3 linked regions of the Oryzias latipes genome follow. The protein of the gene in region 2 interacts with the protein of the main gene of each other region in a pairwise test. Links are inferred from orthologs where the notes say so. Each region holds a gene or a part of one and is shown on either strand. Other genes may lie near its edges. The genes, in order: neuronal PAS domain-containing protein 2, aryl hydrocarbon receptor nuclear translocator-like protein 1 and endothelial PAS domain-containing protein 1.

Region 1 (3,997 bases), on a different chromosome or scaffold from region 2:
GACGACGCCTTTCTACAGCAACCCTATGATGTTCTCTCAGCCCAACGCCCGGCCACAGCAGGATGCAAACCAAAGACACACAGACAACCAGTTCAGCCAAGAGGGACAGCTAAGGTAAGGACTCCGAAAAATGACGAAAAAGGCTGCACGGCTCATGCAGGTCCTCCACTGAAAGATTTCATTTTTTAACAGGATGCTCCTCAATCAGCCAATGCAGACTCTGGTCCCTACAAGCAGTGTCACCTCACAGCCTTCCCAGTGCAACATGGGTATCTCCCAAACCCTGTAAGCCATCAGATTACACACACACGCACGCTCACGGTTGCTGCGTGTTGGTCACAGTATGTCTGACTGCGTTCCTCCATGCAGATACAACCTGGAACAGCCAATCATCGCCCCCTCCTTCTCCATGCAGCAGGTCAACTGCAACGCCCTGCTTGTGCCCTCGCCAGTGTTCACGTCCCCCATAATGATCCCACACAACACCTTCATCACACATCAGTCCCAGCCAGCCTACCACTCTCAGCCTCAGGCCTCACAGCATTCCCTGCAGCTTCAGCAGCCACAGCAGTTCTTTCAGGTACAAAATTCACAAGTTTGATGAATCATGTGAGCATTTCAGGTAATATAAGCTAAACTTAATCATTAGAGAGCCGGTAATAGAGACAGATGGTATGCCAATCCCTATATATGAGAATAATTTACCATATAATAAAAAAAAAATAGACAAAATACTACAAAAGATGAGAATTAATTTGAAAAATTGATGGTAACGAGTTTTGAAATGCTAAGTTGGACAATAGAAGAAAGGCCAGAACACATTCATGCTCTCTTTTTTTGTGCAGATGACTCAAGGACTTGTTCACAGTGGATCCACTCAAGCTTTCTTACAAACCACTAATGTCTCACAGCAAAGCACCGTGGGATACATTCAGCAGCAGCCACAGTCACAGCAGCTGTCACTGACGCAACAGCAGCAACGGCAGTACCAACATTCCCAAAACCAAACTGGCAACGTTTCAGAGTTCCGAAACATGTTGACTCGGTAGCACCGCGGACTCAGTCCGAGCACTAAAATCTGCCGCTGTGGCGCGGCTCTTCAGGCGCCGTTGTGATCGGTCAAACTTTACTGGAAGACCCCCCTCCCCCCAGGACACGGGAGACCGTTCGCGGGGGATCTGACCTTTGACGTAAAGCCGCCTGTTCTGAGGAAGCCGGCACACAAGGTGCCGCAGACTGCACTGACCCAACGTGGGCTGCAGGATCTGAGCAGAGCCTGAGGTCGCCGGGCCTTCATCAGAGTCATCACAAGGCCACATCGCACCAGGAGGAGGTTTAAGGCCCACATGTGGAAGGTCCTCTTTTTCAGTGTCTGTTTGTAGCCTGATACCCTACCCGAGAGTCAAATATTTATTGTTGACCCATAAATTAATGTTCGGCTTCACTTTGAGATTATCTATTAAATCTTAAGTCTGACACCCCATCCCACAGTGACACATCTTTAAAACGTCTTTAGTCAAAACAAAAAGTGTCACAGCTCTTTAACGGTACCCACCGTCTCTCAAACTGCACGCAGAGACAAGCTTTACAGTGCAATACAACCTTAAGGCAACCGTCATATCAAAGCATGTTATTAGCAGATCCGATGGATGTTACACGGAACTGCTGGAAGCCGGGATCGTCTTCAACCGTATGGAAGGTCGATCTAGATTTTTAAAGCCTCAATCCGAACTGAAGAACGGGTGCTGTGAAATTCCTAGAACTTCTTACACAAAGCTCTGAAATTGTAGTTTTAGTTGCTTCTGAGAAGTTATGCAGTCCTAAAATAAATAAAGAACAGCCACCAAAGGGGGGAAACTTGTGCCTTCAGCCATACCTGTTGTGGTTTGATAGTTTTGTCTGATTACGGCTTTAAAAATCCAGCTCAGGTCCATTTGAGAAATAAAAGGTTTATTTTCATAAGAGTATAATTCTAATTTTCTGCATCAGATTGAAAATATATTACGAAAATAGATTTGTATTGGATATATTACATACATAAATACTGTGTAATGGGTGACTTGAAACCTTTACATGTTTGGCTAGTCTCCAATTCCCTGAAAGTGTCTGTAGTGATGATATCAGATATAAATGGAATTATTATTTTTAAAAAAAAGTATATGATGAAAAAAATCCATTTTATACACAAAAGTTTTAATAGATTTTTGTGTCATTTTAGACAATGAGAGGTCAATCCTGCTCCCTGGTCCTTGTGTCTTGTCCCGTTCATGGTTTAATAAAACATCTTTTCCATGCACCACCACTGATTGGCACGTGGTGTTTTCTTGAACGCATTTGATTGTAGTGCAACAACACACTGCTGCAGATTTTATTCAGGCCTGGTCAGTCTTTTAGTCGTTACCGGGAGATTCTATTATTTTATTAAAGAGTAAATGTTTAGTCCAACTGATTAGTATTTTATTCAAACAGAAAAATTCGGATGTGCCCTATTCCTGAAAAAGAAAATCAAAGCTGCATTTCTCTTAAGGATCATTGTCACTGTGTGAAAATGTTACAATCTTTTTGTGTTGCATCATTTAAACTTTTCTAGCCACATTGGGGAATAATCCGCACTTTTTCTTTGTGCTGGTTTAATGATAGAATTGATGATGTGTAACGACTAATCTGCTTTGCACTTTTGTCTTTGCCAGTTTGGGATTTAAAGACGAACAAACGAATTTATAAGCCGGAGGAATAATGCAGCATTGTGCGCTCTTTGCAGTTCCCAGAGCTCAATAGCAATGCAATGACAGTTGCAACAAACAGTTAGGATGAATGGAGCATGTTGTCGAAACTCGATTCCAGAAGACAAAGAAATGCTTTTAAGCAGGGATGAAATCTTGATAAACCAGTTTGAAACAAAAAAAAACTTTTACACTGGCCCAGTTTTACAGGAAACCCACTTTTGTTGCCACACTTTATAAAAGGCAGACTGCCACCACAGATTAGATGTGCAAGTCCCATTAGAGAGTGGTGCTGCCCGTTTTTTGCACAAGTTGCACCACTCAGCATGTGCGTTCAGTGCTGTTTTACACTTTTTATTTTTTTAAATGTGCAATTCAAAAGAAGAATGTTAATTTATACTGTTTGCAATGTTTCAGAACAGATGTATATTTAGATGAGTTATATGCAGCTGTAATTTATATGGAGAAAATTTTAATGGAAATGTCCAAACATTCCTGTAACCGCATCTTTTTGTTTGGATGTTAGTCCTCCGAAGAGCAGGATCACACAGGGTCTTTTTTGTGTGTGCATGTGTGTGCACAACTAGTTGCTTGCTAACCAAACACACATTTCTAAAGTGGAGGTTCATGCATTCACCATAGAAAAGGAGATTACGGGGGGAAGATTCAGTTTCTCCATCTGTTGGACAGATACTCAGCCAAAATAAAATAGTGACAAGAAAAAGTGCAATTTGTCTACCATCATCCAGTCCTTTTATTCATGATATGAAAAGTCTAAATTTGTGTCTTAGCCACTGGGTTGCTTCCATTTCTCTTACCCAGTAAGGGGTTATGAACTAAGGTCTGGCTATACAAGAAACTCAACAGGTGCCATTGTTATGAATCCACTGTTTTCTGCCTACAGTAGTCGATATTAAAAAAAAAAGACAAGATAACTTGATTTTAAAGTTAAATATACAGAGATTTATAGTACTGGAGATATTCTAAGAATGCAATTCCCTTTTTTATTTTCTGTTTCAGAAGTATTACTTTCAATTGTTTGCCTTGTGGAAGTACCCAAGAAAAAAAAAAAACAATCGATCAAACTCCAGTGTTCAGTGTAAATGATTTTGCATGGGATGTAAGGTGATCTTCATTTTGTTATACTTCACAAAGGCTGTATATAAAGGCACCTGCAGTGTTTGTAGTTAAAATGCCCTAAAGTTGCTCATGCATCCGTTTTTTTTTATTCCAAGTTCAGATCGCTTTCTTTACGAGGCTTTTCATCTAGTGTG
Region 2 (4,532 bases):
TCCGAAGCCAACTGTTACGTCATTAACGCCTTATTATTACCCTACATTTTCTTTATGAAACCCTCCAAAGTTTGCCTTTTCAAATCCAATCTGCTAGAATTTCAGCTGACTCACTTTAGTGCCTCTCCAGCTTAACACCATAGCCTTTTAAATAAAAATGCATAGGTGCATTGTTCTAAAATGTATGGCACATCTTGAACAAAAACAAGACTAATGCATTTTTTTTAAATACCTTAGTCATCTTTCACAAAAGTCTTTGTCACAGAGTCAGAACATGCAAAGTCAGGGGTAAATGGTAAATGGCGTATACTTATATAGTGCCTTTCTTCCTACAATGACAAAGTGCTTTACAGTCACAGACCCATTCACCCAGTCACACACACATTCACACACTGGCGCCCGCCTCCCACCAGAGGCAAGGTGTGGTTTAGTGTCTTGCCCAAGGACACTTCGACACATGGGCGTGCAAGGCGGGAATCGAACCTGCAACCTTACGATCATGGGACGACCGCCCTATCACTGCAACACGGCCGCCCCTCTACAAGCTTCAACACTTAAGAGCCATTCAGGTCCATTTGTTGCTGACCACAACCCAATAAACGCCACAAAGTCTGACTTCACCCTTTAAGAAAATAAAACATTTATATTTAGGTTCTTGTTGTTATTATGATATATATAGATCGACTGTTGCATAAATAAAACTTAAAGCTAGGATTTCATATTTTCTAAATATGAAGTGGTGTATCACTTTTGACAGAGTTTAAAATGACTTCCTTTCAAAATAAAAAACACCCCGTGTCATTAAATCATCTCAATGCAGCAGATTTAGTGTAATTGTAGTATAATGTCAAGAGGATTTTAAAAAACACTGTTGATTTTAATGTTTGTGGTACAGCCAGAAATGTGAAAAACTAACTAATCAAAATTAAATCAGAGCCAATTAAGAAATCCTTAATGTATTTTTAACTATCCGGTGCACTTAAAATCCTTGAAGTTGTTAAAAGAAAGAAAAAGAAAATCTGACTTAGGAACCACTACACCTCAACTCCGGTTGTGATCACCCATCTTTACTTGAGTTTCTGTGGAGCATAAACCTGTCAAAATGTTTCAGTCTGTTCTGTATTTCCACATCTGTGAATGAGTTGAATAAAGTTTGAGTTAGTCTACTTTTTAGCCCTACTGTACTACTTTATTGTTTCTTTATCCAGACTGACTTTAGCCCTTTATCCATGGCTAAAAGAGCCTCGTGTGGCAGCGGAGGTTATTTGGACGTTTTTGATCCAAATCCCACAGTTTACATTGTTTACATTAAAAATGTTGAGTGAAATTAAAAGACTTGAGGAATAATACCCTTCAAATGAATATTCCTGCAGACCAACAAAACCACATGATTCTCCAGAAGAATGTCTGATGACAGAAACACTTCAGAACTTCTCCTTGGTTTAATTTTCATGTGCAGTTTGGTGTAAACAGCGGCTCAGACAAGAGAGAGAGCAGCTTTTGCTGAGTCATCACAAGCTGCTGCTGCTGCTTTCTAGATGCTATCGTGAAGATCAGCACCAAAGCAGCTGCAGCGTCACGTCTGAGGTCCAGTCAGAACCACGACGAGCCCGGTACCGAACGGTAGACCCGCCGAGACTGATGCCGGCTGAGCAGCAGGAAAGGGAGGCACGAGCCTGACTCGAGACGGACAGTCAAAAGACGTCAACTGAAAAAAACAAACATTTCAATATATGGATCCCGTCTACTCAGCTCTGATTGAACCGTAAGAATACAAGCTTGATGGTTGCAGCACGATGATGAGGAAGGAATCGAACCACAGACCGCCGAGTCCCCAGTGAGTTGGGGTGGGAGACCAGCGGGGTCCCTCCGCAGTCAAACCCTGTGGCGGGGCTCAGACCGGGGAACCCCGGCTGCTCCGGAGCCACAGCGACATCCATCACTCTCTGCCAATGAATTCCAGCACGAACACTTCAGAAGACGCACGCGCGTGGCGTGGGGTTGCGACAACAAGCGGGTCCGCTCGGTTCCGTTCGGTTCTCTGCGGACAGATGTGGTTCTAGGAAATTGCAGCAGCAGGTTGGATGCTGTCGAAGAAACCGTGCGCCGAGCCCCAGTCCCGGCCTTTTTTTTTTTTTTACATCGTTAGCCTGCTAGCGCGGTGGCCGCGGTTGACCGTCCGCCGCTCGGTCACGCCTGGGCAGCGTTATCCAGCTCACGGGCCGGTGCTTCCCCGTCCCGGAGCCTCTTCGTAGCCCGACAATAGCTGGCAAAGAACGAGCCCGCACCAAAAGCCCGGCGGCTTCTGCTCCCGTAATCCAGAACACAAAGTCATCTTAGCGAGCTAATATTAGCACACAGCTGCTAACTACGGAACGCTAACTCCGAGACTTGGCCGCCGAGCTCCCGCTGACATGACTGCACAGCGCCGGGAAAACATCGAAGATCTCCACCGTGATTTAAACCCAGCCGAGTCACACAAAAAGACAAAGCGTTCGCTCGCCCTCAATTAGTACTTACAGACCGCCCGGAGTGACCCGTGGATCCATGGACAGCCGCCGGTGAGAAAGCAGTAGAGACACACAGAAGAACTGTGACATAAACGATTTTCAATCGGTGACCCACTTTCTTTTCACCGTCATGCCTGTCGGACCACTAACCTAGTTTTTCAGCCAATAGCGTTTGCTCATTGGCACTGGGTATTCCTCCGACCAATCAAACGCAAGCTTAGTCTGGAGAACCATGATTGACGTGCTGATTGACCAATGAGAGGAGAATTAGCCTAGGAATGCAGGGGCCAGTTATGTGTGCGTCTGTGTGTGTGAAAAGGAAAAGACTGAACCAAGCCGAGAGCAAGTACGCTCGTAACACTTACTGGTCCCGAGCCAAAAAAAATAAAATAAAACAAAGAAAGATAAAAAAATCACACATGAAATGTCAACTAATTTAACAGAATTACGGATACATCAGGTGGACAGAAGATAAAAACTGAACATAATTCAAGGAGTAAAGTAACAAAACATTTTAAGTCAGTATCTGTTTTTATTGATTGTGTTCATCTAAAAAAATGATTTCCATTAAAGTCATCATTACTTGAGTTCAAGCATTTTTTTAAATTAGAAATAGTTGCCGGAAAAATATTTGAGGAGCCTTCAAAGAAAAAAACCTAGTTTAGATTTACAGATTTAGACAAGTTGACTTTATACTTTCACTCCCTCTTCTGGCCATAAATAGTAATGATGCCATTTCTAGATTAACAATAAAAAAAGACTTGTATTACTAAACTTATGCTTGTCATACGGTAATTGATCCCTTCAAAGAAGGAAAAGTGAATTAATGTTTATTGTTTAAATGGTCAGTTTGAAAATAAATACTAACCCAATGAATATGCATTTTAAATATAAGATGTTTCTGACTTTGATGCAATAAAACATGTTAGTATTGTTTAAAACTACCTATTTGCTTTTTTGCTTCAAAAAGCTGTAAAAGTAGCAGCTGGAAGTTTAAAACAACACATTGTTGGCTCAAAAGAACAAAAGTTCTTTTATAGGTTTCTAAATGTTTTTTTGGTGTTGGCCATCCTATCTTTCTGATTTGATTTTACAGAAGAGCCCCTGCAGACCTTGAGGTCCTCTGATACTAGCCTCTCAGTTCTTCCAAAAGCCAGAACTAAAACCCACGGCGAGGCCTCGTTCCGTTTTTATGGATCTTTTCTGTGGAACATCCTCCCAGAGAACCTCAGGGTCACGGACACTGTTCATGTTTTTAAAGGAAGGCTCAACACCTCCCTTTTTTAATTTGGCTGAAATGTAGGATCTTTTTAGATATTGAATTTTTTTAATGTCACTTCTGTTTTTACTTCTTTGAATTTATCTTTTTAATGCATTGTCAACGATTGACTGTTTATTCATTTGATTGACAACCTTTTTCACTTTTATGTATTTGATTCCTTTTACATTTAGTTTTAGCTCCAGTGTTTTCCTCAGACGGATCCTCCACATCGGGGATTGGATCTTCTCGGTGAACAGGGTCGCTGCAGTGGGATCTCCTGGGTCTGGCTCCTTGCTTTGATCGGGGAATCCTAGCCTCCTTGAATAGGAGTTTGTGGGGCAAATGGTAAATGGTAAATGGCGTATACTTATATAGCGCTTTCTACCTTCTTACGAAGGCCCAAAGCGCTTTAATGTCACAGTCCCATTCACCCATGCACACACACATTCACACACTGATGGCGGCTCCGCTGCCAAACACTGGCGCCAACCTCCCACCAGAGGCAAGGTGGGGTTCAGTGTCTTGCCCAAGGACGCTTCGGCACATGGGCGTGCAAGGCGGGAATCGAACCTGCAATCTTACGATCATGAGTCGACCGCCCTACCACTGCACCACGGCCGCCCACAGGCGAGGGACTCAACCTCAAGGGACTGTGCTGTCCTCTCTCCTGTTCACTCTGTACACATAGGACTTCACCTACAACTCCCACCTCTGACACCTGCAGAAGTTTTCAGATAACGGTGCTATTGGGGGCTGTGTTT
Region 3 (4,616 bases), on a different chromosome or scaffold from region 2:
TCAATAGTTGTCAATCCACCACTTCACATTTGAGGGTAAAAATAGAAAAGAGGGAACCCAAGTCAAAGTCCACAGCTTAGCTTGATTAAAATGTCGATGCACGGACTGTGAACAAAAAAAGAAAAACAAGTCCTGCTGACGAGACTGAGCTCAAGAAGAAGTGATCTAAACTTCTCCAGTCACTAAGAAGAGACTTTTCTTTAACTTGTTGAATAAAAAAGGGCAGGAATGATGATCCAACATCCACTATATGCTTAATGATATCTACACTAAAACAAGTTTAACAAATTGCCATAAATCCTTGTCAGACTTTGATGACAGATGAAATTTTGACTCCAGGTTGGAGCTTAGACTTAAATGTGGCTGAAAGATCTTATCCTGCACAATTTATTTGATGTTTGCCTTCATCACTGACAACAACCTCAGCAATATTGTCTATTTATTTAGAATCAACCATCTATTCTGATCCAATTGCATTACAGGCCTTAATGTTGCATTTCTCAGAAGGGATACTTCAATTCCAAGCAGAAAGTGGGAAGAACCAGTTCAAAACAGCAAATTCTAACATTAAACCAGCAAATTTCATGTAAGGATGTGAGAATGGAAACACCTAAATCCCCCTAAAACATGTTTATACATAATTTGGATATAAAAGTAGATAAGAAATAAACTAATTTGGGTCAATTTCTCTCAGGTGACTTTTTTTTTAAACCAAATTACTAAATGCAACTTATTTACTAATTAATTTAATCATTTTTAGATGTCAGAAAATGTCTGGTTAGCTTCAAAAAAACACGACTAAATTAATTAAATTTGATTTTTCAAACTTTTGAGAAGAGCTATTGTTTATGATAAATCTAGAAAAAAATAAAATGACAAGTAACAGTATGATGAGACAAAGGGCCTTAAAACATTCTACCAGTGGGCTGCAACTTTGAAAGGACATTTGCTGTTAACACGGTGTGAAAAAAAAAGTACCATAAGTTAAAAACGTGCAAAATGTGAGCACAATGTGTGCGAAATGGCAAACTGAAACTGATAGAATTCCTGCATTAAATGCATTTGTGTGAGATTTAACAGAACTTTTTGCAACATTTCTAAGAGTCTAAGAAGCCAAATACTTTTTAGCTGTTTTTTTCTAATTAAAATAAGATTTACCACTTACAATATACCATACAATACCATATAGAGAGACATTGTATACATGAGATTCAAGCTTAAAACAAACCAGTGGAAAAGGCATAAAAGTTAGTCTCTTCCTTTTATTTTAAATAGGTAATTTATCCAAAAAGTAACATAATATTTAGAATATATAAAAATATATTTGATGGAGACAATTCATGTAAGTGGGGATAAAAATGAAGGTAATCACTATATCAAAATAACTTATTTCAATAAAAGCATTTAAGTTAAAGAATGTGTCCAGTTTTTGTTTTCCTTATTTTTTTTAAAACAATCTACTTTTCACTAAAAAATTTAAACATAAATCTTCAGATTGATAAAATGATTACCTAGCCTAAGTGCTTAAATTAAAGATAAAATAAATAAATCTATTATGATGGTGCTTTGAAAAAAAAAACTTTAATTGTGTTTTTCCTAACTTGCAGGTCTTTCAAAACATTTGCTTAAGCTTCTGTCTGCAGTTAAAATACTTGCTGTGCTAATATTTGGGTTGAACTGGACAGACGAGAAAGCCTTAAGTAAACACAATTAAACACAATTTCGCCCCATGATCTCTCCATTAGTCATTTGAATATGCAAGAAAAACTACAGACTCAAACTGTGCCACATTGATTGAAAGGATCAGACCTCGTCACGTGGGCACAGGTGAACTAGAAATTTGCACACGACACTAATGTACGCAAAAGTCCTTGTATATGCCCTTCTATGCTAACGTTTCTTGGATTGATATTTCCCAAAAAAATTAAGAAAAAAAATCCAAGAGGAAATCACACTGACAGTAAGGATGCCTATAAATTTCTGAAGCCATCAGCAGTTATTGTCCTTTTACAGACATCTTGGATTTTTCAAAACCAGAGGTGAAGGATACAAATATTACTTTTCTGCTTATAATTGACTATTAACATTTTGAATAACTAAAACTAAAAATGATATTAATATCCTGCTTAAATATTGACATCCCAGTGTACTATTGTCAGTCCATAGAATTGGCAGGAAGGTAAGGTTTTATTTTGAAAAACCTCAAGCAACATGAAAAAAATACTCATTAAGCCATTCAGTGTGTTTACAGCGTATCACCCGGTAAACGCGTCGTTAAATCTGATTTGATTTTTATGTTTATTTTTTAACTACATCACGTTTTATAGGTTGTTAAGACCCATTAAAGCTTTACTAAATATCATCATGATATCAGGCCGAGAACACAGCAGCAACAGGTCCCTGCTTCTACCTTAAATACACAAATAAATAAATAAATAAATAAATAAATAAATAAATAAATAAATAAATACTATTATGAATTAAGAAAGTCAAAGCGCATGCGCACGTAAGAAAAACAGATAGATTTCTGCTCTTACCTCTTCTTTTCCTTGTCAGCTGTCATAGTTTGGCTTACTCAGACGCAGAGCAGTAACTCCACTCAAGTTTAATTTAAAAGTTAGTAGACGTATTTCTTTTTTTTTGGAGGAAAGGGGAGTGCCGCTTTTAGGCCAAAGAGCGCAGGTGAGAAGAAGTCCCTCTATGCGATGAGTAAGTCCATGGAACCCTGGCTGGAAGAAAGCGTCCGGGCTTGTAAGAGAAGGGGGCTTCGGGGGGGGGGGCGTACAGTCTCAGAACACTGCCGAGGATTGTACGGCCTCTTCTTTCCCCGCTCACAGGACACCTCTTGCAGGTTTGGAAGGGAACGCCGAGCCGCTGCTGCTGTCGACACGAGCTGCTTGTCAAAACTTTTTTCCCTCGCGGACTGACAGAAGTCCCCGCAGAAGCTGCGCGGTCTCTGACCCGAATGTCAGCTGGCACGGTGACAGCCGTTTTCCAGCGCTGATTGGCTAAAACCACAACAGGGATCCACCCCTCTGTAAAGAGCCCGCCCCCTTCCAGCGCGAGCCGAACTTCTACCTGCTTGTCTCTGCGGCGCAACAGGTGTGAGGAGCTGGGACCTTTTCCCGCCACAGCAGCTGCCAAATTCGACGCGTTTCATTAAAAACATAAAATTGTTCAAAGAAAATTGTTTCTCTGAAATTATTGTTTAAAAAAAACTTTTTCTAGATTAGAACACTAATTAATGAGTGGATATTTTTTTATTTCTTAGAAAATAACATTTTCCACAATCCGCCCAACAAAATGTATCATAACGTGCAAATTGTTGGAAAATAAATAAATAAATAAAAATAGTGGTGTTTTTTTCCTGTTAAACAGCAGACTTCAACAGCCTTCAAACTGTGTCATAAAAGCCAAAAACATTTTTCCTTTACAACCAAAACAATTCGTCAACCTCGAAATTTACTATTGACTTCACCAACTGTATTTTATATATATATATATATATATATATATATATATATATATATATATATATATATATATATATATATATACATACATACATACATATCAAATGAAGACTAAAATTAAGAGATAACAGCTTTTCTTAATATAATACATTTATACCATATTATACCATTATAGTTAAATACTGCTTAATTATTCATTAACTAACAATAATAAATTGATTTTTAGGTTACCTTAAAAATATTTATTTAATGCTAATTATTGCAGTATCAACATTTTATGTAATTTATTAATATTTTTTATATGTACATATCCTTCTTCCCCAAAAAAAGACAGCATTGCATACATTGTTCCACAAAGAATACAGATGCAGTCCCTCAGCTAAGTTGTAAACTTACAAACTCCTAACTGGCTCTGGCACAGTAGTCAAAGGTAGGACAGCAGGTGTGTAAGCATGGTATGAGATAAAAACTGAGGATGCAGCCTCTGATGTATCTGGACTTTTAGATTGGTATAGCTCCACTGCAGTAACCTTTGTGATCCACTATCCTTGGTGATCCAAGACGGTAAGTGCAGGGGGTAAAATGCTCCTGACAAACAACTCCAGATGTCACTCTGGTCTTTTTCTAATTCCTCTTGGCCATGACGGTGTCTCCAGGTGGTTAAAAGGAAAGACGCATGATGACAGCAGCAGAAAAGTCAATTGACACACTTTGACTGAAGATGTTTCTTATTGGTGGAGACTGTTTTGGGGATCTTTTTCCCCATGGAGAGTTCAGCTTGGCTGACTCCAGTAGTGATGCAGGGTGTTGAACATATGAGGGCAAGACGTTTCTTTGCTGTTGTTACTGTTTTCTCTCCATGGATGTTTCCTTGAGGCATGGTGCAGATTCATGATGGCATTTTGCAGTTTGCAGTTGTCTATTGTGGCAGCTTTAACTGTTTTTGAAAAACCGCAAACAATATATAAAAAATACTTACTCATAGGAGCTTTAGCTCCAGTGTTGGGATTCTTTGGACTACTTCAACTCTTTAAACGTTGGAAGTTGAAGCTGGCCAATTGCCTCCACTGGGACTCAGCCTCATCCAAAGTCGTCAAAGGAATCGAAGTTGGCTTTGTCTCAAGTAGAACTTTTGTTTGTTAA

The links.
Region 1: the proteins of aryl hydrocarbon receptor nuclear translocator-like protein 1 (region 2) and neuronal PAS domain-containing protein 2 interact in binary tests that used the Homo sapiens proteins (3 or more experiments, as listed by UniProt). The link is inferred for Oryzias latipes from reciprocal best matches to the Homo sapiens genes BMAL1 and NPAS2.
Region 3: the proteins of aryl hydrocarbon receptor nuclear translocator-like protein 1 (region 2) and endothelial PAS domain-containing protein 1 interact in binary tests that used the Homo sapiens proteins (3 or more experiments, as listed by UniProt). The link is inferred for Oryzias latipes from reciprocal best matches to the Homo sapiens genes BMAL1 and EPAS1.

The regions. Positions count from the first base shown.
Region 1 is NC_019872.2:16,625,513-16,629,509, forward strand, and holds the end of neuronal PAS domain-containing protein 2, read left to right. Parts: coding exon 1-114; intron 115-192; coding exon 193-285; intron 286-369; coding exon 370-580; intron 581-845; coding exon 846-1,049; 3' UTR 1,050-3,799; downstream 3,800-3,997. UniProt on the Homo sapiens protein: Transcriptional activator which forms a core component of the circadian clock.
Region 2 is NC_019864.2:422,898-427,429, forward strand, and holds the start of aryl hydrocarbon receptor nuclear translocator-like protein 1, read right to left. Parts: upstream 3,009-4,532; 5' UTR 2,521-3,008; intron 1-2,520. UniProt on the Homo sapiens protein: Transcriptional activator which forms a core component of the circadian clock.
Region 3 is NC_019873.2:14,261,191-14,265,806, reverse strand, and holds the start of endothelial PAS domain-containing protein 1, read right to left. Parts: upstream 2,978-4,616; 5' UTR 2,564-2,977; coding exon 2,538-2,563; intron 1-2,537.